Linked DNA regions of Drosophila melanogaster. The protein of the gene in region 3 purifies or fractionates together with the protein of the main gene of each other region. This does not show direct contact. Each region holds a gene or a part of one and is shown on either strand. Other genes may lie near its edges. The genes, in order: glu, Cap-D2, Cap-G and SMC2.

Region 1 (7,095 bases), on a different chromosome or scaffold from region 3:
GCAGTTTCTGAGCGAGGTGGACTGGGGAAATCTGGATCTCCTGCTACTGGACACACCACCTGGAACTTCCGATGAGCACCTGTCTGTGGTTTCGTACCTGAAAGACGACGCCAACCCGGAGTCCCTGCGCGCCGTGATGGTGACCACTCCACAGGAGGTGTCTCTGCTGGACGTGCGCAAGGAGATCAACTTTTGTAAAAAGCAAAATATCCCCATTGTGGGCGTGATCGAGAATATGAGCAGTTTCCGTTGCGGCCATTGTGGAAATAGCTCCGAAATCTTTCCAGCCAAAACCGGAGGAGCCGCTGCCATGTGCGCCGAAATGGGAATCCCGCTGTTGGGCTCCCTGCCTCTGGATCAACAGATATCCAAAGCCTGCGATTCTGGCGAGGATTTAACTGAGTTTAAGAATGTCACCACTGAGGCGCTGGAAGGAATTTGCTCAAAGATTATGGCCAGCTTTAGTTAAGAATAAGTTAAAGACCACTCAGTTTTTAAATAAAAAAAAAGATGCCTGTACAATTTTATGTAACATTTATTATTAAGCATTGAAAGGATAATACCAATTGGAAATACCGATTCACCTGAGGTCATCAAATTACGTCTCGGTCTTTACCAGAAATTAGATTACCAGGCAGTTTACAACATGCCCCTTTACAGGATAAGAAAACATTCTACAATATTGAAGTAGGTTGGAGTTAAACATTAAGTATGGCTGGGGAAGATGGCGGGCTTGCTAGGGACACATCCGTGGTTACTCTTCCCGTGGCATCTGACGGTTGAGCAGCAACCTCAGTGGCGGCCTGTTTCAGATTTTGCGCGAGTATTGTGTCCCTCACCGTACTTTCCAAGGGCGGCGCAAATGTGGTATCCCTCCCCAACTCACTAATCAAGCGGACTATTTGCTCTGACGGCGGCGATTGGCTCTTCTTCGTGGGGGTATCGTCTTGGTTCTCGGCAGCTATCGTGTTATCCCCCTCAATTGTTCCACCCACGTACTGGCTGTTAGCGACCACTGGCGACTGAGTGGGCAGCGTAGGCGGATAGTTCAGCATAGTGATGGAGTCCGTACAATCGCTGACCTTGTATATGCCCACCAGGAAGTTGGCCAGCTCAAACATGTTGACACGAAGTGAAACAATTATGAACTGAGCGTTTTTCGTACGTTCCTAAGTGAACACAACAACAATTGGCTTTAAAATGTGAATGTAAGGCAAGAAAGCAGAGAGGTATTTACCTTGATATAGTGACCCACTATAGACACATTCTTGAAATCCAGCGCCGCATCAATTTCATCCATGAAGTACAGCGGAGAGGGCTTGTAATAATGCAGGGCAAACACAAGTGCCAATGAGGAGAGAGTTTTCTCACCACCTGAGAGATTCGAGATGTATTTCCAGCTTTTCTTTGGCGGTCGCACAGTAAAATTTACGCCCTCGGTGAACGGATCCATGGAGTCCACCAGCTCCAGCTCAGCATCGCCGCCCAGTGTGATCATCTGGTACATTTCCTTCAGTTTTCTTGTTATAATGCTAAAGCCATCCATGAACTCCTTGTACCGTCGCTTGCGAACTTCTTCGTACTTGTCGCGCATCTCATTGCGCTTGGAGGTGATGTCCTCCAGCACACGGACGCGATCGAGGTAGACTAAGCGCTTCTCGTTGAACTCCTTTATGCAACTCAAGTTGGGCTTCTTTGTTTTCAGATCTTCCTCCAGCATAGTTTGCTTATATTGCAAGGCTTCCAGAGTCTCTGCCTCCAGCTCTTCTTCGTTGAGTTCTTTGAGTGGCGCTTGCGGTTCAGTCTCTCCTGGAATCTCGTTGAGCTTCAAAGGCGCCAGTTGAGCCTGCCATCCGGGAATGTCATTCTTCACCTTGTTCATTTTTCCCGCTGCAGCTTGCAGCTTAGTATCTATTTCAATGCGCTCGATATTTCGTTTGTTCTCCTCCTTGGTGATCTCATCTATTTCTTTTTTTATATCGGAGGATTGTGATTTGGCGCCCTCGATGGACGCTTCCGATTCCTCTATTTCCTTTTCCAACTCCTCCTTCTTTTCCTTAGCCTTATTTCGATCCTCATTCAACGATTTCAATTTTTCTTCTGCAGCTTTTATATTCTCACGGAGATTATTATTGTTTCCAGTGATTTTCGTTATATTTCGATCTGCTGTGGCCAAGCCCACATTCAAGGACCGCACATTGGCGGCCAGCTTTTCTATCTGGCTATTTACCTTCTTGATCTTGGCCTCCACAGGCTTGACACTTTCATTTCTAAGGGTATCGTATTGGTTCTGGATCTCTTCGATTTGGCTGGAGACAGCCTGTTCGGCGAATTGTGCTTGTTCCAGCTCTTGCTTCGCTGCTTCTATTTGCTCCTCCCGCTCCTTGACTGCCCTTTCGTCTGTTGTTTTCTTGAGCATTCGCTGCCGCTGCGCCTCGCATTGCTTCAGGTTGCTGGCCATCTGTTGTTCCAAAGAAGTGATGCTCACCGCCAGCCGCTTGTACTCCGCCTCGTCACGCTGCAAGCCATTCTTCAGGGTTTGAATCTCGCGCTCAAGACTGCCCTGCTGTTCCTGGCAATAATTGACTCGGGCCTGTAACTCCTCCGCCTGAATCTGCATGTCTTCTAACGCCTTCTGAGATATTTGCGAACTGTCAGCCGATTCTGCCGTCTTGGTGCGCACCTGGGTGCCCATTTTTCCGCGTATAGGACGACTGCCGCCACCAGACATGGTTCCCGTCATCTCGATCATCTCACCACGTAAGGTCACAACTCGGTAGCGTTCCCTGCCGTAGGCGATGCGGGTGCCCTGTTCTAGATCGTCACATACCAGTGTGTTCCGTAGGGCGAAATAGAAAGCGGTTCGTACGCGGTCATCTTCAACCTTAACCAGATCGTACAAACGAGGAACGTTTTCTGGTCTGCAATAGTACGTGAATGGTGTTAATAACCATTTCCATTCATTCTGTTACTATTACTTACGTATTTATCCTGGAGTTGGCCTCACGACGATGGTGCTCAATCTTGTCCAACGTAATAAAGGTGGCTCTGCCCACGTTGTACTCCTTTAAAGCGCCAATGGCCGCCGATGCGGTCTCATAGTTGTCCGTAACAATGTTGTCCAACCGCCCGCAGGCAGTCGAAATAGCAATGTCGTACTTGGCATCTATGCCACCCAAATCACCCAGGCGTCCTAGAATACCAGGGATCTTTCCCTCCATCTTCATACGCATGAGGAAGTCTAGGACCTTGTTATTGGATCGCTGAGCCTGCATGACGCTAGATCTTTCATTGATCTGCCGGAAAAGGTATTTATAAATAGAAGAACAGTATAGAATGTAAATAAATGAACCATACCTCTGTTCTTAGTTTGTTGCACTGCATGGATAGGTTGCGTTCCTCTTTAACCATTTTGTCCACTTCCGCGGACTTGCTGGCAATTTCGGTCTTCATCCGTGGAATGCTTTCTTTCAGCTCGTCCACCCTTGTTACTTTCTCCTCCAGACTTTTCTGCGACTGCTCGTACGAACTTTTTAGGGTTTCATATTTCCTAGACTCAGTGGTCTCTGCCTGTTTAAGGATCTTGAGCTGCGACTCGAACACTTGAACCTCTCCTTTAGCCGTGTTGACCTTCTCCTTAAGGCCCACCAGTTCGTCACTGAGCTTAAGGCGCTTCTCGGTAAGCGGTGCAGTGGTTTTAGTTAACTCGGCCTGCTGCTTTTCAAGCTCCTCATTCAGTGTCACCTTACTTACTTCCAGGCTCTCCAATTTCTTGTTGCAATCCTCGATCTCGCGCTGATTTTTCTCCGGCAACTTGTGCAGATCCTCCAGCTCTTTTTCGTTCTTTTCTATCTGGGCTTTGTCCTTCTTGCGCTGCTTGTTCGTGTTCTCCATTGTGCTCTGGATCTCTGTGTAGGCACTCTCAACAGTCACAAGTCTTTTCTTGATCTGTTCGCGCTTTTTCACTAGAGCTTCGTATTCTCTGAAATTACGTAATGTAATGTAATATATAGCTCAGTTTGAAGTTGAAGCTAGGTACTTACTCAATTTCCTTTCGGATGATTGTTTCCTTTTCGGCTCGTGATTGTTTCAGGGCAGCAGTGCCCTCGTCGTGGGTTTTTAGCTCTTCCGCACAGGCTTCATGCTCCTGGGTGTACTGCTCCAGCTTGCTCTTTTTGATGCTGATGATCTTTTGGATGTGGAAGGATTTGGTGCGCACCAGCTCATTCTCCTTCTTCAGATAGTCGACGGCCTCATTGAACGGTTGCTCCAGATCTTTCATCTCGCGCTCGGCCAGCTTGCAGCGGTTGTGCTTCTCTGTTCGGTCGTCTGTGAGTTGATCTACCCGTTGGTTTATCTGCTGCAGTGGGCGAATGTAGCGCTGTGTTCCGACAATATCCTCCAGGTATTCCAACATTCCAGTTTCATTTTCAGTCTGCCCTTTTGGCTTCATCATGGCAATGGACTCCACTTCGCCCTGCAGAATGAGGAAGCGATTGTGCTCCAGATCCACATGATGCTTCTTAAGCAGCTTAGCCACATCCTTGAGCTGCGCCCGTTTGTCGTTGATCTGGTAGTAGGAAGAGTTGTCCGACATGGCAGTGCGTTCGATAACAATGCTGGAGTCGGGCACGTCCTCGCATGTGCCGTCGCCCTTGTCTACGATCTGCTTGAAGTGGACGGCGACCGAGCAGCTGCGTAAATTGGGATAACTAGACGAGGAGTGGATCAAGGTGGAGACACGCTTGCAACGGATGCGATTGGCGCGGCAACCAAACACAAACATCATGGAGTCGATAACGTTGCTCTTGCCACTGCCATTGGGTCCAATGATGGCAGTGAAGCTCTGGTGGAAGGGACCCAATTCCACTTCGCCCGCATAGCTCTTGAAATTCCGATTTACAATTTTCGAGATGATCAGGCGCGGTCCGGTGCTCTCCATGGAGCAATGTGGCGGCACCGGAGGCGGTATGTATATGTCGCCGATCCGGGTGCCGCCCTCCTCGTCGTCGAAGATCAGTGCATCATCCAGCGCGTCCACGGCGGCGTCCTCCTCCTCCTGTTGTTGCTGCGCCCGCAATTGTTGCTGAGCAGTTAGCTGCGGTACGCGAAACTGGCCGCTCTGCCGGGCTCCGCCAGCTGCCTTGGGCGTGCCCTTGCTGGGACGCGCCTTCTGCATCGTGCGCTATTCTCAGTAAATTCTCCGTGTGGATTTATCCAGGAAAAATCCTCGAATTACAAAATCGCTTTTTCGGGCGCCAATGGTAATAGGACGCTATCAGCAGTGTGACCGTCTTGATGTGCCCGCAAAATACTGGCAAGGCCGTTAAATAAATCAGGCGAGTTGTCAGCTCTGTAGTTTGAATTTAAATTAAAAGTCGTTACATCGACGCTAAGAACAAATTTCAAATATTCTAAAACATATATGAAACTGATATTTGTAAATATAATATGAAATATTATTAATTAAATCACAATAAAACTCAACTAAGTAGTTTTTTCGATGAAGTTAGCAAAATAATGAAATACATTTATTTCATCGTAAAGTAAATGAATTTCATAATAAGCAAGCAAACTACTTAATTTCCAAAAAAGCCGTGTAATAGTTTGGAAATTATGAATAACTCAGCGCGCTCTGCGCTCCCCAAAAACATAAGCGAGACACCCACTGCGCGGAGCTTTCTCTCCGCTATCCGCAAGTCAGAGAAATGCCCAAATATATATAATGCCTTGGCTGCATCTCGCACGACTTTAGTCACAACTCGACTTTGGCTCGGTGCGGAACCATTTTCACTGGCGGTTTTTCCTTCGGTTTTCCGATCGCGCGCAAGATTAAAGCGCTCAAAGCAAGCAGCCAAACACAAACGCGAGTGGCAAAGTGGAAAGCAGGCTGAAAAATGCTCTGCCCGGGGGAAAATGCCTATAATGCAAATGGCCAAACGGGTTTCACAGTCAAGGTCGTCGCTTCCGCCCAGCGACGCTCGAAGCCACAACCAACAGCGCGAATTCCCAACGCCCACCGCTTACCCAGTTTGTGCATCTGGATGATGGTGGCGCTTATGATTATGTCGTCGTCGCTGGACGCCCTGGTCATTGGTAATTTTCTCCCCTTTTGTTCGCTTTTCGATTGGGTACGACTGAATTTATTTAGTTTTTGGCATGCTCATGCGCGCATGCGCACATTGGGTGTGAAAGTTGTCGATCGAATCGAAGGAGTTATATAACACGAAACGACCAGCCAAGTGGGGCCAAGTCGGGTTGTCCACATGCCCGCACCCGTCCCCAAAAAACAAAACAAAAAAAAAAAAAAACTAAAAAGAGCGTGTGCATTGAACCCCATGACAGTTGCTGAAATTTTCCTGACCCGCTGCCTTGGCCTCTCTGGCCGGCGGAGATGATAAATTTACTTTCTAAATGCTGCAAATGCCCAGCTGCCCCAGCTAGACATTCAGCTAGAGCTGCAGATTGAGATTCAGATGGAGATCGAGATGGAGATGGAGATATACACACACGGACTGTCAGTCAGTCGGTCTATCTACTATAGTCACACATATGTATGCACATATCTCCAATCTTGAGATCGCATCTTGCATTTGGCCAACACGCGTCGCTTGCCCAACCGCCTGAGTTACGATATGGTGCGGCACGGCTACGGGCCATTGCTGCCGATCCATGATGCAAACGCATTTCAACCCGTCCGCCGCAATGTGGCACATGGCTGGGACGCATTTCCAAGTGGGTGGAGCTGGCGTTAGTTTCAGAAAGACCTATTACACAAGTGATTTGAAAAAGTTCAACAATTTACTATACTTATCTCAAAGGTGCTCCATAGTTTACACTCAATTCTAGCAATATTTATCCAATATTTTCAATATTCATAATCATTTCCAAGTTTGCCAGTGCATATAAATTGGAAAAATATTTTTAAATGGCAAGTCAACATAATTTTGAGTGCTAGTTTAGTGCCAGCTGTACTTCGTGACTAGTTGTCTTACTATTGTTTCCATCACGTTTAAATCACGGCGGAAGATCATCTAAGATCACATTATGGTTAATATAATGTTAATTGAGGCCTCGAGCCAATCAAAAAGGTCA
Region 2 (7,099 bases), on a different chromosome or scaffold from region 3:
ACGAGATTCTCATCATCGGAGTGCCCATCTACTGTTTCCTGATCACCACAATGCTGTGGAGATCGCTGGCCCGCGCCGTGGACTCCAGGAACTTCCTCGCCGTGTTCTGTGCCATCGGAGCCATTCTGTTTGTGATCTCCGACGCCCTGATCGCGGTCACCATGTTCGTGGGCGTGCCCCTGCCCTGCGCCCGCCTCCAGATCATGATCACCTACTACGCCGCCCAGTTTGCCATTGCGCTGAGCACCGCGGACGACGGTCCTGCCCTCCAGCGCTCCCTTCGCAAGAAAATTAAGTGAAGCCAGTGCCCAGTGCTCATCTGTCGGAGGCCCAGAGACAACATGAACGCAACCACCAAACTTAGTACTTCCAAAGCGTCTAGAGTATTGCCATTTACGTGTGTTGGTTTCCCCATCCCAGTAGCTTAGTGCAACCAAATATTTGTTCCCTTTCTGATGGATGTGGAAACGGATCTTAGTAGTTTACTAGATGTTTGTTGACTTCAAAGTAATAAATATATCAATAATAGGTTCTATTAACTATTTTATTAAAAACCATCTTTGTACATCATTAAAAACCCGCTCAGATCGTAACTTAAGATGGAGCACGAACTAGTCGCTGCTGCTGGAACTGAAGCTCTCTTCTGAGGTGGAATCCCGGCGAGCACGTCTTCCGCGTCCTCGCACAGTATTGTTCCTGTTGGCCGCCGGCTTGCGACCACCCTTCTTTGTCCTTGGCGCCGCTCTGGTTCTGTTGCCCTGACCTTCTGGAGTGCTTTCTTGATCACCCTGGGCAGCGGTATCCGGGTTGACTTGCAGGCACTCGTTCAGTCGGTTCTCGAACTCGGTGACTACAGCTTTGAGCTCCGGCTTGGCCAACTTGTTGGTGTTGCTAATGATGAGCTTGAAGGACTGATAAACCTCGTCCACCTGGACCTTGTCCCTGTAGTGCTGCATATTGTCCATTAGCTTCTTCACAGCTCGCTCGTTGTAGGTGAGCAGGCCGAGGCAGTAGGCGATGTCGCGCCATTGACGCTCCACCCGCGTTACCGGGAAGCGCAGACACAGCTTCTCCACTAGCGTCTCAATCTGGCGATCCTTCTGGATGAGACCCAGGATATAGGACATGATAATGCGGTACTTGTCCTCATCCAGGTTGAGGTTTATGTCCCCCAAACGGGAGATGATATCTGGCAGGACGTTGTACAGAATGTTCGACTTGTTGGCTATCTCCTTGAAGAACTGCTTGGTGATATTGCGAATCTCCTCGTTGCCGTCCACAATGCAAAGTGCCATGTCGGCGATTTGACCCTTGACGCGTATCATCTCGTTGAGGATCAGATGAGATAGCATTTTGACGGCAGTTAGCCTTAACTCGGTGTTCGATTCGTGCAGCTGAGCGTAGAAGTGCCCCGTCCACGGCTCGATGATGTTTGGGAAACGGAAAGTGAGATCCGACAGCCCCACCACCGTGTTGCACTTGATTCGAATGTTCTTCGTTAGGTTGAGGATGTTCATCAAAAAGCTCATGTTGGACTCGCAGAAACGGGAGGAGACGGTCATGAGCCGGGCCAGAGCCAAAGTAGCGGCCTGTTGCAACGTGGGATCACCAAACTCACCTGGACGCTTGCAAATCTCTATGATAAATGGCGCCAGCTTGGAGAGCAGAGCATCCGGGTTGTAAAGCAGCATGTCCTCGCAGATGCCGTGGATTTCCTCGGCGATGTTGTCCTCTGCAGTCGCTCCCACCAGATCGTCGTCTGGCTCCTGCTGTGGTTCCGCTGCCACTCCGGACAGCCTCTTGCGCACCTCCATCGCTGACATATTAAGCGTAAGTCTGGCCGCATTATGTGAACTTCCCGCCTGCTGATTGCGGTTTTTACGCTCTTCAAGAGCCGTCAGCTCGTCGCGATACTTCATGTTATTATAGATATCCATGTCGAGAAAGATCATCTCCTTGATGGTCATGTAGCCGATGCAAAAGATTAAGCGGGAGACGAGATACACGGGAATCAAGGTGCCTTGCATCTGCGATTGGCTATCAGCTTGAGTCTGAGTGGGAGTAAGGGTCTGCGAATGCGGAATCTCCAAGGGCTGCGAGTCCGGAACAGTTTCCGTATCCGCTTTGTCTGGAGAGGGAACTATTGCAGCCGCTTCCTTGACCAGCCAGCTCTCATTGAATTGCTTGAGTAAAGCCGTCACCAGTTGCTGCGCAATCACATCCGGCGCCTGGCACATCCTATAGAAGTATTCAAAAACACTCATGGCCAGTGCGTCGAAGTCGTATAGACTTCTGTGGAAAAAGAAGTCGAGGAAGAGCCGCGTGATCTTTCCCACGAATTCTGCATCGCTGTTCTGACGCTTATAATACTTGGCAGTGTTGTTTGCATCGATTGAGTTGACCAGCAGCTGCAGACAGGAGGTAAATATCCGTGGATCCCGACGCACCCGCTCTCCGACGGCGATATCCTCGATGATGGCAGTGTTGGCCGAAACAATACTAGACTTCGATTGCGAGGCCATTATCAGGAGCTGGAGCGACAGGCGAGATTCGTTGGATGTAGTGCCCTCCAGTTTTAGCGTGAAGCGCTCAAAGAGCACCTGGATGACAGCAGCATCGATGTCGCCACCCAACACCCACTCGGTCATCAGCGACTCCAAGGCCGTGTAGTGACCATACTCGATTTCCGAAAGAAACTTCGACAGGTTCTGCACCACCTTAATGGCATGAGCGCGACCCGTTTGGTCCGTGGAGAACAGAACGCGCTTGTAGGCATCCGACACTGCATCTCGTTTCTCCTTGTCCGAAGACCAGACCAGTTGCAGCATTCTCTGCATTCCCGACTCCGTGCCGTGAATTCCGAACATGTACCCGGTGGTGAACAAGTCCACCGCCTCAAAAACATCCGTGTTTGTCTTGGACATGAGCATCTCGTGCAGTTTGGGGAAGGCTGAAGTCATCAAGACGGCAAAGTCAATGCTGTCTTTTAGGAACTGCACCGTTTTGATTTGCTGCAGCATTTCCTCGCTCTAAATTAAAAGATTTGGTTAGAAGGGAATATAACTTTCTAAGATTAAACATACGCTCTGTTTAAATCCAGCAGCCAGCAGGTGATATGTCTTTAGCAAGGCCAGCACATACACGCAATGCTCCTCGTGCTTCAGTAAGGAACTGGAAAGTAAATATATTTATGGTAAAACAAAACCATCTTTGATTAGCAACATACCTCATATTCTGATTTCCCGCCAAAAAGTCTACCTTTCGCACTAGAACAATAACATCCTTGTAGTTCTTTTCGCGCATCAGCGGAATGATCCGCTCCATCAAGGTCTCGTCGCTCTCCTCCTTGTCGAACTGCATATCGGGAACTGTAATATAACAATAAACTTTAATATATACGTCGAACTAGCGGAACTGCATGAACTCACACTCCGTAAGGTTCTCCTCTATGAAAGGCAGCAGTTCGGGCGCCAAGCTGCTAAACTCGTCGTTGAGCTTCTCCTCCTGCTTGCGCTCTTCCTCGAGTACCTCATTAAGTTTCTCCATTGCCTGCACCTCGTGTTCATGCTTGGCACGGAGTTCATCTATGGAAAGCTTACTGCTGTATGGATTGCTTTCCAGGGCGGATTTGATCAGATGCATGGCGGCACGCCGCACCAGCGAGCTCTTGTCTTCCAACCTTCCGATGGCTTCCTCCAGCACTCTGGTCAGGAAGTTAAGCGGAATGGCGTGCTGGGTTTTCAGGTGATGCCAGATACTGAGCACCTTGGAGCGCACGTGTGCAGAAATGTCTAGGATGTGGGCCATTAGGTGCTCGAGGAACTCATTGCGTACTTCCTTCAGTTCTTCGCTAAGATCCTCCGAGGTCAGTTCGCTAACCACGGTGTCGCCGATGATCTGGAGCACACAATTTCGCAGCGTGTGAGACTGACAATCTAGTAAATCTTCCGCCAGCTTTTCCAGGTGCGGTACGATCAGCGAAGGTGCTATGTTCGAGAACTCGGCCAGGAAATTGGAGAAGTGTTTGGACACCGAAGAGTCAGAACTGTCCATCCTTAGAGCATCCACAATGCTCTTGATTAGAATGGAGAAGACCGAAGAAATTCCGTACTCCTCGTGCAGAAGCAAAATTCCAGCTGCTACTGAATGGGCTGCATGCTCGGTACCGCGTAGGATCTGCAGAATGCGCACCGGGAAGGTCATGGCCTGGTTAAAGCGCTTGATCGATGTGCCCAAGATCTGGAAGATCGTGTCGAATACGTGTTTGTTGTCCATGCGAAGCGGCAAAAGTTCGATTGTTCGATAGCAGGGGTCGCAGAGCAAACTGGGGAAGATGGATACATTGCAGATCGAAGAAATAGGATGCTAAATGCTTTGCTCTTACTTTATAAAGTCCTCCTCGGCTACGGGCGGACTCCAGAGCTTCTCCAGCGGGCACTGCAGCACGTTGAAGAGCTGCACCAAGAACTTGCCGCGCTTAACCTCCCAGTTGGGAAACTGCTCCAATCCCTCCGATGGCTTGGCACGCTTCTTCTGAACATTGAGCTGCTGATCCCGCATGGCCTGCTGGACACTGTTGTTGATCTTCTTGACGGTGCTCACCTGGAGGAACAGCGTCATTTTGGTCAGGTTGAGGTAACTATTGCGCTGCTGGTTAGACATGGGCTCACTGGCCGTCAGCAGGGGCTGCAAGTCTTGGAACAGTTTCTCCACGGTCAGGTAGAGCAGGTCAAAGGACCTCATTAGATTCTGTGCAGAGGCGCCATCTGAACCGCGGGCCTCGATGATCGAGTAATACAAGTCGAAGTGCTCGAATATATAAAAAGGATCGCCCAAGTGCACTTTGCGCTTGCATTCTGGGAAGGAAACATGAAGATTGCGCGTCCGAAAACTGTACTCAATTTAAAAACCAACCGCGAAAACGGAAACTTACCTTGTAGTTTCGCGGGAATCTCCTGGGCGCCAAAAATCTCCTTCACGTAATACTGATCTCCGCTGGAGTTGATCAGATCAGATGCATTCAGGGGAAGGACGAACTGGAAGTCGTGCGATTCCTCCATGGCGGTTATTACTCCTATTTACCGCGAAATAATAATTGTATCTTCTGAATTGAGTGGCGTCGCTTATAGAGATGGGCAGATTCGCCGCCAAATCGATCGCTTGATATCGGTTATCGGTTACTGCTGACTGCAAGCTTACAATGCTCATAATGAGAGGGTGTATTTATCAGATAGATACTTACCACAAAAACTAAATTTATATTGGTTTAACAGGGGTTTGTAAAATTTTTTACATTATTAAAAGTGTACCTGTTTAGGGAGTCCCCTTGATGCAAATATGCAATGTATCGATAGTGATATCGAAATACTCGCATCTCTTCTCCAGACGCCGTGCAAATTCGGAGTTTGATTTGTTTTAAGCAGTTTCTGTTTGAATTTATTGTTTTATTATCCACAAGTTGCTAGCAGAAAACTTGACAAAATGCGTCCCCCAGAGTTCAAGCTTAACAATCCGCCGGAGGACCTGATCTCCGCTGTGAAATTCGGCCCCAAATCGAATCAATACATGGCGGCGTCTTCTTGGGACGGAACACTTAGATTCTATGATGTGCCGGCAAACCAGCTGCGTCAGAAATTCGTGCAGGATGCCCCTCTTCTCGACTGTGCCTTCATGGTGAGACTCCTTCGTACACATTAACAATCCCCTATTCAACCAACGATCCGCAGGACATAGTGCACGTGGTCAGTGGCTCCCTGGACAACCAGCTGCGTCTCTTTGATGTCAACACCCAGGCGGAAAGCATAATTGGTGCCCACGAGGAGCCCATCAGATGCGTGGAGCACGCCGAGTATGTCAATGGCATCCTCACGGGTAGCTGGGACAATACCGTGAAGCTGTGGGACATGCGGGAGAAGCGCTGCGTTGGAACCTTCGAACAGAACAACGGAAAGGTGTACTCCATGTCCGTGATCGACGAAAAGATCGTGGTGGCCACCTCCGACCGCAAGGTGCTCATCTGGGACCTTCGCAAGATGGACAGCTACATCATGAAGCGGGAGTCCTCGCTCAAGTACCAGACCCGCTGCATTCGTCTATTCCCCAACAAAGAAGGCTACGTGATGTCCTCCATCGAGGGACGGGTGGCAGTGGAGTACCTGGATCACGATCCTGAGGTGCAGCGCCGCAAGTTCGCTTTCAAGTGCCACCGGAATAGGGAGCAGAATATCGAACAGATCTACCCCGTTAATGCCTTGAGTTTCCACAATGTCTATCAGACGTTCGCCACTGGCGGATCCGATGGCATTGTGAACATTTGGGATGGCTTCAACAAGAAGCGCCTTTGTCAGTTCCACGAATACGATACCTCCATATCCACGCTCAACTTCAGCTCCGATGGCAGCGCCCTGGCCATCGGCTGCTCCTACTTGGACCAACTGCCAGAGACGCCGGCTACAGTGCCACATCCGGCTATCTATATACGCTATCCCACGGACCAGGAAACTAAACAGAAATAATGTTATATATACTTGTTTACGGCAAAGTTTTACATCATTTTTTAAAGTAAGCTACTTAGTATACTCTTTCAATTTTATGCGCGCATCTCTGATGAAACCCCACATCAGTTTTCCCAGCACAAATAAAAGCTCTATAAAACTCATGACGGAGGCCCCTATATACAGACTTATGATCCCGCCAAAGTTGGCCAGTAAATCTATATTGGTGTACTTGAGTTTCGTAATGATTTTGGTCATGACACGTTGGCCATAATAAACCTGGGCTTTTATCAATTGATCTGTCGAGTTTTTTGGGCTAAAAGAGAGGGGAATTTAATTATCTGTTCTTTAAGAATATATACATTGAACTTACTAATCCAATTTGCGCACATTAAGTGACATTTCGTACAGCCGTGAATTGCAATTGTCTGGGCAATCACAAAAGTGACCCTGTCGTGAGTCGTTAATGTATTTCTCCTGATCACCCATCTTCACGTAAGTGAATATATCGGAATTGTTGCCCAAGCATTGTGCATCGTTGATTCCACATTCCGGAACTCCATCTAAAAAAAAAAAAAATTTAAAATGTAATAGAATAATTACGA
Region 3 (4,932 bases):
CGCTCCGTAAAGTAGTTCTGAATGTATTGCAGAAAACTTATCGCTATTTTGTTGTGGATATTCGTTTGTGGCGTGCTCATCTCCTGCACTGTCATTTCGAGGAAGAACTTGGTCAAGTGTTCAGGTTGGACGCCGTGAAGCGGCGAGTCATAGTTGCAGGTCCAAACGGTGGGTAGGAAGCACGGCTGTAGGAGACTATGCTTGTTCAGGCGTCTCAGCTCTTCGAAGAATAAGCCCAGCACCTGGTTGATAATAGGCTCGGTGTTTGGGTTAAAGTACCGCTTGAGCAGTAGCTCCAGCACATCCGTGCGATCGTCGACGTGGCCACGGAGCACTAAGCGACAGAGGCCGCGAACGATTGCCATCCCTACACCTCTGTGCTGCACTCGCTCCAAATAGTGGCCCAGTACCACGAGGATGTCACTATTCTGCTCGTTGTTCTGCGACTGGCTGCCATCGTCGTCATCGTATAGCTCCTGCATCGTGTACAGTTGTCGCCGCTTCGTCTTTGACAGTGAACCTCCGGTCTGGTTAAGATCGTTGAAGTAATCCACTCCATAGCGATCCAATAGCTCTAAAATGCAATTGGCCGACGCTTCGCACAGACGGACGTTATTGTTTTTGCAAAACTGCACCACCACTACCTCGAAGACCTCTCTGCTGTAGGCCTCGTAGAAAATGCTAAAGGTGGTGCCGCATTTAATGGACCACTCAAAGATGTCTACTTCGGCGCACGGTAGGTAACGGCAAATGAAGTCCTTGTACAACTGGCAAAGACTTGGCGTCAGCTTGTGGACGTGCGGCGAGGCGGTCATGTAGTAGGAGATGTAGAGACCCTTCAGCACGCGCTCTTGCTTGGAGAGCTTCGGTCGGGTGGGCATTTCAATCACGCCGTGCTTCTCCAGCAGCGGCCTTATTAGCTCGGTGTACTCTTCGGTGACAGCGATCTTTTCATCGTTTACGGACTGCGCCCGTATGTACTCCCTCTGGCGCACATAATTACCCTCCAGTTCTTCCAATTCAAGAATTTTAACTTTCAGGGAAGAGATCTTCATTTTTAGCGGAGTGTCCAAGTCGTCCAGCAACTTATTGATCAAACTTCGATCGTGAATCAGGTCGTTCTGCTTGGTGTTCAGTTCGCATAGCTCGTATATGATCTCGATAAAATATTGTATACGATCGTTAGTGTCGGTGATCAGTTGCTCCATGCAGCGCACCAGCACGCGCACGATCTTGTGGTCCAATAGACAGTCTTTTAGCAGATTGGTGATCAGCAGACGCATATTTCCGCGTCCGATCTCGTCGCCTAGATCGTAGGTCTCTAATATCTCCACCAGCGAGAGGAGCATGTTCTGGAACTCCACCTGGGCAAACTTGTCCATATCGGGCTTTTGAAACTGGCAGAATCTACAAAACGGAATACATTTAGTACCAACTGGCGGTAAGGATTAGATTCCGTGACTTACTTATCCATATAGGTGCAGAAGACACTAAGTTCCGGCAACAGCGATTCGATTTCGGGCGCTTCCGTCTCCAGATATTCGCTAAGACACTGCCAATATAACAACAGCTCTACGGTTACTGAATCGTGTGGGATGCAGCGGTGCAGCTCGCAGTCTTCGCTTAACGGCAGTTGATCGATGAGTTGCTTGATGTCCGTTTGCTGGAAGATCACTCTAAGCATTTGCTTGGCCACGCGTCGAAAGCGCAGCAGTTCTTCTTCATTCGAGTCCAGCTTGAGAGCCGCTATCAGAGCGACGTAGTTTTGCTGATAGGATTCAATCCACGTCTTTAGCATGAAGTTGATCACTGTTTTGCGCACGGTTGCCGATGTATCGTTAAGTCCCTGCTCCAGCAGGGTAAGCCGCTGGGCAACCTTGTAAGAGCGCACCGGATAGTTGCACATGTTGACGTAAGTGTGTCGGCGCACCTTCTCGTCGACATCCCAAAGACGCTCCAGGATGTGCGGAATGGTAATATAATTTCGGCCCATGCACGTGATGATGCACTGACGCACGTTGGGCGAGGGATCGGATGTGAGATGGTACATGTACGCGCCCACGACGACGTCGCTGGGATTGTCTGGATTTTGAAGGCGCTGCATGGCCAACACGGCCTGTTTGCGAACACTGGCGGACACATCCTTCACCCGGTCCAGCATTGCTTCCAGTATATCATCGCACTGGTGGTCATCCAAGGCGGCATTGGGTCCGAGCTCCTTAAGTATAAGATTCACAAAGTAACAGATGCGATAACGTATGTGCGGGTTGCTCGAATAGGTCTGTGGGGGCGGAGAAAACAAGGCACTAGCATTAGGAACACAATTCGTCAGCACAGTAGGTACAGTAGACACTCACCGTAAGCAGCCAATGAAAGGTTTCGGCCAGCATGGGCTCAGTACCATCCGAATCTGAGCTGGTGACGAAAGTGGCGCAGAAGTTGAGGGCCATGTTTGCGTTCTCATTGCCCTCCTCAGCCCCTAGGACGGCTTTCAACACGTTGATGAAGGCCTTGCGAAAGGACTCGTGTCCCATCTGTCGATAATGAACAGTGTTAGACCCTGAAATCCCAAATTTGATATACAATAATTTCGACGCCACTCACCTTTGCGTACAGTTGCTGCATCTCCTTTGAGTAGCGCTTGTGCAGGGATTCCTTGAGCTCGGCTTGTCGCATTATCGCGTACATGAGTTCCGCGGATGTGTCTGAGGTGGTGGCCACGCTCTGATCCTCGTTTTCCTTCTCACCATCCTTTTTCGTCTTTTTGGTGGCCGCCAGACGCTTTTTTCCTCCCGCTGCCTTGGTTTTGGGTTTTTCCGTCTCGCCCGCCTTCGCCTTTGGTTTGGCCATTCCGAATAGTTTATTCCGTTTTTTGTGGTCCGCAGCCAATACTAGATTTCCGTATTTTACGGTTTAATCTTAAAAACTGTTTTCAAATTGCATCGAACGATGGCGAAACAAACAAGCGTCGCGTTATTGCTATTTCCTCATTCCACCCCCGTTCGCTTGTTAAATTCAAATGATGCGTATGTATTTTTTAGTGTGTTTCTAGTGTTAAGATCGATAAATGTGAATGAATGTTGCCTATCGATTGCTGTGCTCCATTTTAAATTTAACGGAATTATGTATACATACACATTTTCGTTTCAACAAACATTCCGATATTTAAATGACGTATAAAGATCATCATTTGCTGCGTTAAACCTTTTTGTAAAGACTGTGAAATATCATAGCATCTGAAGCCATATTTAATATCATGTATACGATTTTTTGCACTACTCATCATTTTCTAGAAGCGGCAGTTGGGATTTTACGAAGGGTGGGTTTTCAAGAACATAAGGGGGATATTACAAAACAGAGATTTATCTTTCAAAATACCCGTTGTTCAATAGGAAATACAGCTGGCAGATAAGAAATTGCCCAGAGAGAGTTAATGTTAATGTACGTTCATGGTAAATTTCAGACACGTTTTACGTTTTGATGCTCAAATACGGATTACGTATAAGTAAATAAAGATTTCCACATTTTCGGAACTTCTTTTTCCGAATTCCGAAAACTGATGTACCATTAGAGTTTACACAATTATTAACCAGTCAATCATATATATTGTTGCATACTTTCAGGCGCTTAAATGAAGAAGGCGCAAATTTAAAATCAAAACAAAAGCCTAATGTAATACCAAAATCATATAGTTAAAATAAAAGCTAGCTAGAGAGAAATTGTCATTTGATAAATGTTTATTTTCATATATAAAATATACAAATAGATACTGTCGCGAAATCTCTTCAAACATGTCGCGAATTTCGAAGCGCGTCTATGAGGCGAAGTCCACTTACCCGGATCGCACCAAGTCCGAGGAGAAATCCTTCACGGAAGTGAGTGTGCCGATCAAGAAGCTGGATACGGCGCTGCTCCTCCTGAGTTCAAAGGAGGAGTGTGTCCTGCTGACCATTTTCAGCCACATAACGGACTTTGCCCGCCGCCAGGATGTGAATGTGCTGGAACTGAAGGCCCATCGCTTGTTGGAGCTGTTGCTGGAGAAGGATTTGTTCATCGCGTCGGAGAACACGATGATCCGCCGCTTTGCTCTGTACTTGCTCACTGCTCTGCTGGACAACACGGACATGTCCACCTATGAGCCAGAACAAGCGGATCAGATCCTGGAGCTGGCGTGCAGATTCTACATGAAAGAGGTGGACGACTTCTGCATCGAGTACTTGACGTATATACTCAATGTGTGCCTGAAGGATCCCCAGATGGCACATGGCATTGTCGAGGCCACCGAATTCCTGGAGAAATTTAAGTTGGTGTTCATAAGTTCGGAGAATCCGGACACCGTGTTCAACTCGATTGAGGCACTGCATAGGATGCTACTGGTCCAGAGTGCAGATCAAATGCTGGATTTCACAACACAGCCGGATTTTCCGGTAGATCGTATTATCTGTGAGGTTACCAACGAGTTCCAGGAGATCCGCAAGGCGGCCCTTAAAACATTGAAGACTCTGCTGGCGGACACTGGCGACGATAGCGTCTTCGAGGCACTGCATCGTTGCTACTTCGTGCTGGAGCAGTTGGTCAAGGTGTTTTGCGAGAGTCCACAAGGGCCGGAGGCTGCCGATGTCATCGAGGTTCTGGCCACAGCTCTGCGATCCGAGAAGATGACCAAGCTGTTCTTCGAGCAGAACCTCTTCGACCAGGTTGTCGAGCAGGTGCGCAATCACATGGACCTCATGCCGCTGGAGATGCGCTGCACCATCATATCGATTTTCGCTGAGACGGCTCAGTACGAGCAGTTCCTACCAAGGATGCACAAGGCCGAAATCGCAGACATGTTCCTCACCTGTTTAATGCAGAACAAGCCGGCTCCGGCTGCCTACGTCATCCAGGGACTTCATCGCATGTCACACCATCCGGAAGCGCTGCGGCGAATTG
Region 4 (6,259 bases), 1.7 Mb from region 3:
AGCGGTGTCTACAATATTTTGCTGCTCCCCGCACACACACACGCACAAGTCGTGTGTGTGTGTGGTAAAAGAATCGGACGATTCGTAATTTTTGGAACCTTGCAAATTACCATGGTGAGCTTTTGAAGCAGTCTGCGTTGGCTCGAAATCTTGATGTTTTGTTTTTCAACCGCCGTCGAGTTTTTGCTGCTGAATTCCGGGGACTTTTGTTTAATTTTTCACTCCCTCAAACATTGCTGTTGCTGCCTTTCGTTCTTCTTCTTCTGTCCGCTGCGTATGTGTGTGTGTGCGTTTGACGGTCTCACCAGTTTGACGTTTCGCCCGCCCGGTTGGAAATCAGCTGATGCGCAAACGACCGTTACAAAATTAAATTTGTAGTTAAATTACTTATTTCGTTGATTTAAGTAATGTAGCAATAAGTATATTGACCGATGGCTCTTGAAATAAGTATATTGCTGTAATACACAACCTTTTTTGCGAATTAAAAAAACTTGAAAAAATTCACAATTAAAATGATAAGAACAGTTTTATATGGTATTTTTAAAGTTTTATTAAGTGATAAGAAAGTAAACGAGTTCCATTTCAGCGTTTGTTGGTTGTCGCCTGTCTGCTGACCTGCCGGGTGATGGTGGACACACCCTCCTCGAAGAGAGTGCGGAACAGGACGTTGGCGTGGTTGAAGAGACCATCCTTGAGAGACACAATCAAGAACTGCGAGTTGGTGAAGTGCTGCTTCAACATACTACCTATGTTTTGGGTGTGTGACATGTCCAGGGCAGCGTCCACCTCATCCAAAATGTACAAGGGAGCCGGAGAGAACTTAAGCATGGCCAGGACAAGGGACAGAGCCACCAAGGACTTCTGGCCACCAGAAAGTTCACCGAGACTCTCCTTCCATATGCCATTGAAGCCGACTTTAATCTCCAAACCGGTCAGACAGCCATTGGTATGGACGGGATTGAGTTTCGCTTCAGCACCCGGTAAAAGGGAGCTAAAGATCCCACTGAAGTTCGTGTTCACCTCGGTAGCGGCTTTGTTCAGCTGATCCTGCTCTTCTTCGTCCATCTTCACTATGATTTTCTTAATCTTCTCCTTGTCCATCGCCACAATGTTTCGCCGGCGCTCGGTCTCCTTGAAGTTCTCTTCCTCGCGATCCAGCACCATGATAGCGTTCATGTTGAGAGTGCGTTCCATTTTGTCCTTTTTCTCCTGCATCTTTGCCAGCTTGTTGCCTGCTTCGTGGGGGTCCTCCTTGCTGTAATCGTACCGAGTATTCTTCATGCCAAAGCAGTTCTTCTCCTCCGGAATCCACGGATACTTTGCCTCAAGGGCTTCCATCCGTTTCTTTGCCTCTTTGGCATCCGAACTGATCTTTTTTTGTTCGTTCTCTTTTTTCTTCACCTCCAGCTCAATCTCCTGATTTTCCTTCAACATTTTCTCCTTCTTGACCAACTGATTTCGCATCTCCTTGTTCTGATCTCTCAGTTTATCTTTCTGCTCCTTAATCGCCTGTTCGAGCTCCGTCACCTCGGACGCGGCACTGGAGCTATTTACTTTCAGAGCGTCTAGCTCGGCCTTAAACTTTTCGAGGTTATCAATCATTTCCTGGTGCTGCTTCTTTGCAGTTTCGATACTTTTCTGCAGCTCAGTAATTTCCAATTGAAGAGTTTCGAACTCCTGCTCTCGCTTTTTCCAGTTCGCACGAGATTTCTCCGCCCTTTGCTTGGTCACCTTGATCTCGTTGGTGGCTGCATTCAGCTCTCGCTCGCGATAACCCTTTGCATCTGCCAACTTCGCCTCGATATCCACTATTTTGGCTTGCGAGGTCTTCTGCTTTTCACGGGAGTCAATTATTTGCTGCTCTAGGGTCTTGACCCTTTCCCTCATTTCTTCAATTTCAGCCTGATTCTGTTGAAAGGTTGTTTGGGCCAACCTGTTCTCGCACATGGTTAGCTCGTGCTGTCGCAAGTCAAGATTTTCCTTCATTTTGTTGAACGCGAGGGCCTGGTTTTCAATGGATCTAAAAACAGATAGGCGTAAGTATTGGCAATGAGAAGTTACTGGTTCACCTACGCAATTTGCTTTTCCACTTGGGCTATCTCAGAGTCGATCTCCCTGTACTCCTTTTCTATTTGCTTAATTGCGTGCAATTCTTCTAGAACGTTAGCACCTTTAGGAGCAGCACCTCCAGACACTGTGCCATGGGGATCGACGACATCTCCTTCCAAAGTCACAGAACGACAATTAATACGGGGGTCGTAGCTGATCTAGATAAAAAAAATGCATTTAAAAGATGTACAGAAAAAGAAATATATATACTCACTTGTTTGGCTACAATGAGGTCCTTGCAGATAAGTGTTCCGCCAAAGCAAAACTTCATGACAGGCTCGTAATAGCGGTCATAGTCAATCAGTGACATGGCCCATTGGACATTCTCGGCGCCCACTTTGTTTTGAGCGTATTCTACCACATTTCTGTTTAGCGAACCAGATTGAATCTTGTTGATGGGAATCAAAGTGACACGACGCTGAAGATTGCCCCTCTGCAAGATCTTCTTGCTAGTCACATCATCGTCCGTCACGTAGCTATATAACTAACATAGAACTCGTGATTAAAGAAATAACTTTTCAAATCAGATTTAACAACTTACACTTCCGCCGGCTGTCTGGACTAGAGCCATGGAGTTTTGCATGTCTTTCACCTGGAACAACTTGCCTACCAAACCACGCACCTTACGCCGATCAAAGTTTGGTTCTGGGTCCTGGTATTGCAGATCATAGCGGGAGGCATTGCAGCGGTCCAGCTCTCGTTTCAGATCGCGCTTTCGCATGTGCAGATCATTGCGTCGCTGCTTTAGCTTCTCGAAATGACCGCCCTCGTAATCGAGACTTTGTAGCTGCCGTTCTAAGTTCTTAATCTCAACCACCAACTGATCATGCAGCTTCTTATCCTTTACATAGGCAGCGTCGTTGGTCTGGGTCTCACCCTCACGCTGTTTCAATACGCCACGCGTATGACGCAGCTCGATCTCTGAGGTCTTAATGGTGGTCTGTGCCTCGCTGAACTGCTCCTTGGCCACTAAAGCGGGAATATAGGTAATTAAAATGATTTAGTTTCATCCCCGACAGACATACCTATCAATTGTTCTTGCAGTGTTGAGGCTTCTCCGTTTTCATTGGTGGAGAGTCCCTGCGAGACAGCCTCCAGCTTCTTTTGGGCGTCCTCATAGGCTTTTGAGTCCCTGGCATCTGCCTCCTTGAGGCTTTCAAATTCGCCTTGAACCTTGGCCATGTCCGCTTCTTTTTTTGCCAGGGCTCGTTCATCATCCTCAATGTTTTTGGATGCCATGCGAATTTTCTTCTCATCTTGCTGAATCGTTCCCTGGGCCGCCTTCAAGCTACCCGTAGCGGTAGCTTCTAGTGCCCGCTTGGCGCTGAGCTGGGTTTCGAGATTTTTGATGGAGCCACCCATCTCTGCATCGATCTGTTGCTGCATCTCCTTCACGGAGTTTTCAATGCTCTCGACCTCTGCGAGGTTCTTGGCGTGAGTGGCCTTGCAGTTCGCTATGCGATCCTCGATTTTGTGCTCATTAGCCTCCACCGTCTTGAGGGTCTCGCATTGCTTGAGATACTTGGCGGAGATGTGAATTCTGATGAGGAAGTCTATGTCGCGGCAGATTTTCTGATACTCCTGGTAGGCGGAGCGTTCTTGGCGCAGCTTAACCAGCTTTGGCAGCACCTCCTCGTCGAGCAAGACCTTGGTCTCCCGCACTTTGGTCTCCTTTTTTTCAATCAGGGTTTTGGTGGCATCTCGCTTGGTTTTGTACTGACTGGTTCCCGCTGCCTCCTCTACCATTGACAGAACCTTGGGGAAATATCTATGTTAGATGGAGAACTATTTATGGTTGTGTTTTTCTGGCTACCCACCTCCTTGGGCTTCATATTTAGCACTTGTTGGATCTTGCCCTGCATGATCAGGAAGTTGGGATTGTTTACATTTAGCTGGATGGAGCAGAAGAAGTCTTGCACCTTCTTGTTCTGCACCAGCTTGCCATTGATGAGGAACTTGTTCTTGCCTCCGACAACCACCTGGCGCGTCACAGAGATCTCCCGGCACTTTTCGTAGCCCTGCGGACACTGGGCGGGATTTGTGTTGTCAAACACAATGGTAACAGTGGCCTTGGTAATGCCCGCCTGCCCATTCTTGTACACCAAATCCTGTAGAGCCGAAGCGCGCACCTGGTAGCACAGAGATAAGCGTTGAAGTCCAGCCCCAGACATATCCAATTGGTACTCACATTCTGGAGATTACTAATTCCCAGTACGAAACAAATGCTATCCAAGATGTTTGACTTGCCGGAGCCGTTTAGACCCGTGATAGCCGTAAATTCTGGATCGAATCCTTCTATCTCCGTGCGCCGGCCATAGGATTTGAAGCCGTCGAGCACTAGTTTCTTAACATACATTTTTATGCTAAGCGGTTTTTTTAATTCCTGGCGTTCTTTTCGTTAAATTCCGCGTCAAAAATTTGCCGCAATTAGTGTGACCGTGGCACGGCATCTGAAATACATATCGAAATGTCAGGGCAGGAATGCTTTCGATAAAAGTGCACCTAGTGACGAAATGCAATACAAGGCAACAATTTAAAAATGCTATGAACCCAATTAAATTCAGCTAAAATACTTATGTATGACTATACAAATTTAACTAATCTATAGCTTCATTCAATTATTTTAACGTTTAATTAAGCTACCTTATGACCCCCGGAACTTTTATTACAAAAAATGGTGTAATAATTTTAGTTTTTAAGTGCCTTCGTCACCTGATAATCTAATCGCACCTTGAGCTTTTCAGTTTGTTTTATTTAAATACCGAAATGGAAGACTTCGACGATGATTCCTTTAACGATGTTCTGGGCGCCATGGAAATGCCAACGGCTGCAAAGCAACCGAAAGTAGATGCCCCAGCGGCCACAGCAGTGAATCCTGCTCCTAGCAATAGTACGGAACCTAGTGGATCCGGCAGACCCGCACCCGGCAAGCCGGCTTCAAATCCGCACTGCGTCCTTGTTCACAGCAAACAGCGCGGTAACCCCATCCTGAAATCCATACTTAATGTCCCGCTGGAATTCCGCGACGACATCGTGCCCGATTATGTGGTCGGTCGAACATCCTGCGTGCTGTACCTCTCGCTAAAGTACCATAATCTCAATCCCGACTACATTTGCCAGCGTTTGAAGGCTCTGGGCAAGATGTATGAGCTGCGGGTGCTACTGGTCCAGGTGGACACACCAGAGCCAAACAATGCCCTCAAGAGCTTGACCAGGATATCACTGTTAGCCGACCTGACAATGATGTTGGCCTGGAACGCTGAGGAGGCGGGCAAAATCATTGAGACGTACAAACAGTTCGAGAAGCGTCCGCCAGATTTGATCATGGAGCGAGTGGAGTCTAATCCACACCAGAAGGTACGCATGTTTACATTGCCAGTATCGCCACTGTAATGCAATATCCCAATGTCCATAGCTACTCGCTGCTCTCACCAACATCAAGCCGGTGAACAAGACTGATGCTGCCGCCTTGCTGCACACCTTTGGCAACCTGGGCAACATAATCAATGCCAGCGAGGAGCGACTCTCCCAGGTGATGGGACTGGGTCCCCGGAAGGCCAAGAAGCTGTACAAAACGTTGCAGGAACCGTTCCTCAGCAAATAGCAATCCATATTAGGTGTAATGCATCCCATAATCGTGTATGACACACTTCATCCATCATTTGAATACTTTAATTTTTTATTACGCAGACACTGTACAAAAATTAAGTTCCAGAATTACCCACTTAAATATATCAAACAATAATCCTTATGTTACTCGGTCACTTTCCAAATTTTAATGGTGCCATCATCGCTGCATGATATCAGTTGCCCGGCCACCACAGGATTCCACTGCACCGAGTTTACGTCCTGATCGTGAGCGCCTTCCTCCGCGGTTATCTGCTCGAACGTGGGTTCGTCTGGCTTGGAGTCGCTGCTCTCCTTAAAGATACGAATGCCGTCGTCGCCACAGGCAGTCGCTATCAGACCTGTAAGCTTGCACCAGGACACGTCGTAGATAGCCCGCGAGTGCTGCCCGGACACTGTGCACACGCACTTCCACACGGTTTGCTGGTCGGGCGTAGCCACTCCGGCTGTATTTCCGGGATGGTAGGCCCTCCAAATCTTTATTGTGGTGTCATCGCTACAGGAAACCAGGCGCTCGCCATCA

What was found.
Region 1: the proteins of Cap-G (region 3) and glu purify together in Drosophila melanogaster (affinity purification with western blotting, with the first as the bait; one study listed by BioGRID). This does not show direct contact.
Region 2: the proteins of Cap-G (region 3) and Cap-D2 purify together in Drosophila melanogaster (affinity purification with western blotting, with the first as the bait; one study listed by BioGRID). This does not show direct contact.
Region 4: the proteins of Cap-G (region 3) and SMC2 purify together in Drosophila melanogaster (affinity purification with western blotting, with the first as the bait; one study listed by BioGRID). This does not show direct contact.

What each region holds. Positions count from the first base shown.
Region 1 is NT_033779.5:16,733,099-16,740,193, forward strand, and holds glu (gluon), read right to left. Parts: upstream 5,291-7,095; 5' UTR 5,180-5,290; coding exon 4,044-5,179; intron 3,983-4,043; coding exon 3,358-3,982; intron 3,297-3,357; coding exon 2,983-3,296; intron 2,922-2,982; coding exon 1,238-2,921; intron 1,170-1,237; coding exon 699-1,169; 3' UTR 519-698; downstream 1-518. Other genes in the region: Nubp1 (NUBP iron-sulfur cluster assembly factor 1), read left to right, coding at 1-469; ChLD3 (chitin and LDLR binding deacetylase 3), read left to right, coding at 5,898-6,096.
Region 2 is NT_033777.3:29,673,691-29,680,789, reverse strand, and holds Cap-D2 (CAP-D2 condensin subunit), read right to left. Parts: upstream 5,140-7,099; 5' UTR 5,061-5,139; coding exon 4,934-5,060; intron 4,857-4,933; coding exon 4,385-4,856; intron 4,325-4,384; coding exon 3,429-4,324; intron 3,369-3,428; coding exon 3,227-3,368; intron 3,172-3,226; coding exon 3,084-3,171; intron 3,030-3,083; coding exon 612-3,029; 3' UTR 533-611; downstream 1-532. Other genes in the region: CG7582 (uncharacterized protein), read left to right, coding at 1-299; Bub3, read left to right, coding at 5,482-5,673, 5,727-6,515; ppk19 (pickpocket 19), read right to left, coding at 6,567-6,810, 6,868-7,057.
Region 3 is NT_033778.4:13,131,232-13,136,163, reverse strand, and holds the start of Cap-G (chromosome associated protein G), read right to left. Parts: upstream 3,023-4,932; 5' UTR 2,851-3,022; coding exon 2,605-2,850; intron 2,535-2,604; coding exon 2,358-2,534; intron 2,282-2,357; coding exon 1,467-2,281; intron 1,408-1,466; coding exon 1-1,407. Other genes in the region: CG13326 (uncharacterized protein), read left to right, coding at 3,792-4,932.
Region 4 is NT_033778.4:14,848,090-14,854,348, forward strand, and holds SMC2 (structural maintenance of chromosomes 2), read right to left. Parts: upstream 4,565-6,259; 5' UTR 4,466-4,564; coding exon 4,298-4,465; intron 4,239-4,297; coding exon 3,927-4,238; intron 3,865-3,926; coding exon 3,135-3,864; intron 3,079-3,134; coding exon 2,651-3,078; intron 2,594-2,650; coding exon 2,324-2,593; intron 2,268-2,323; coding exon 2,074-2,267; intron 2,021-2,073; coding exon 583-2,020; 3' UTR 532-582; downstream 1-531. Other genes in the region: CG10209 (uncharacterized protein), read right to left, coding at 111-113; Ercc1, read left to right, coding at 4,876-5,466, 5,525-5,713; Ciao1, read right to left, coding at 5,863-6,259.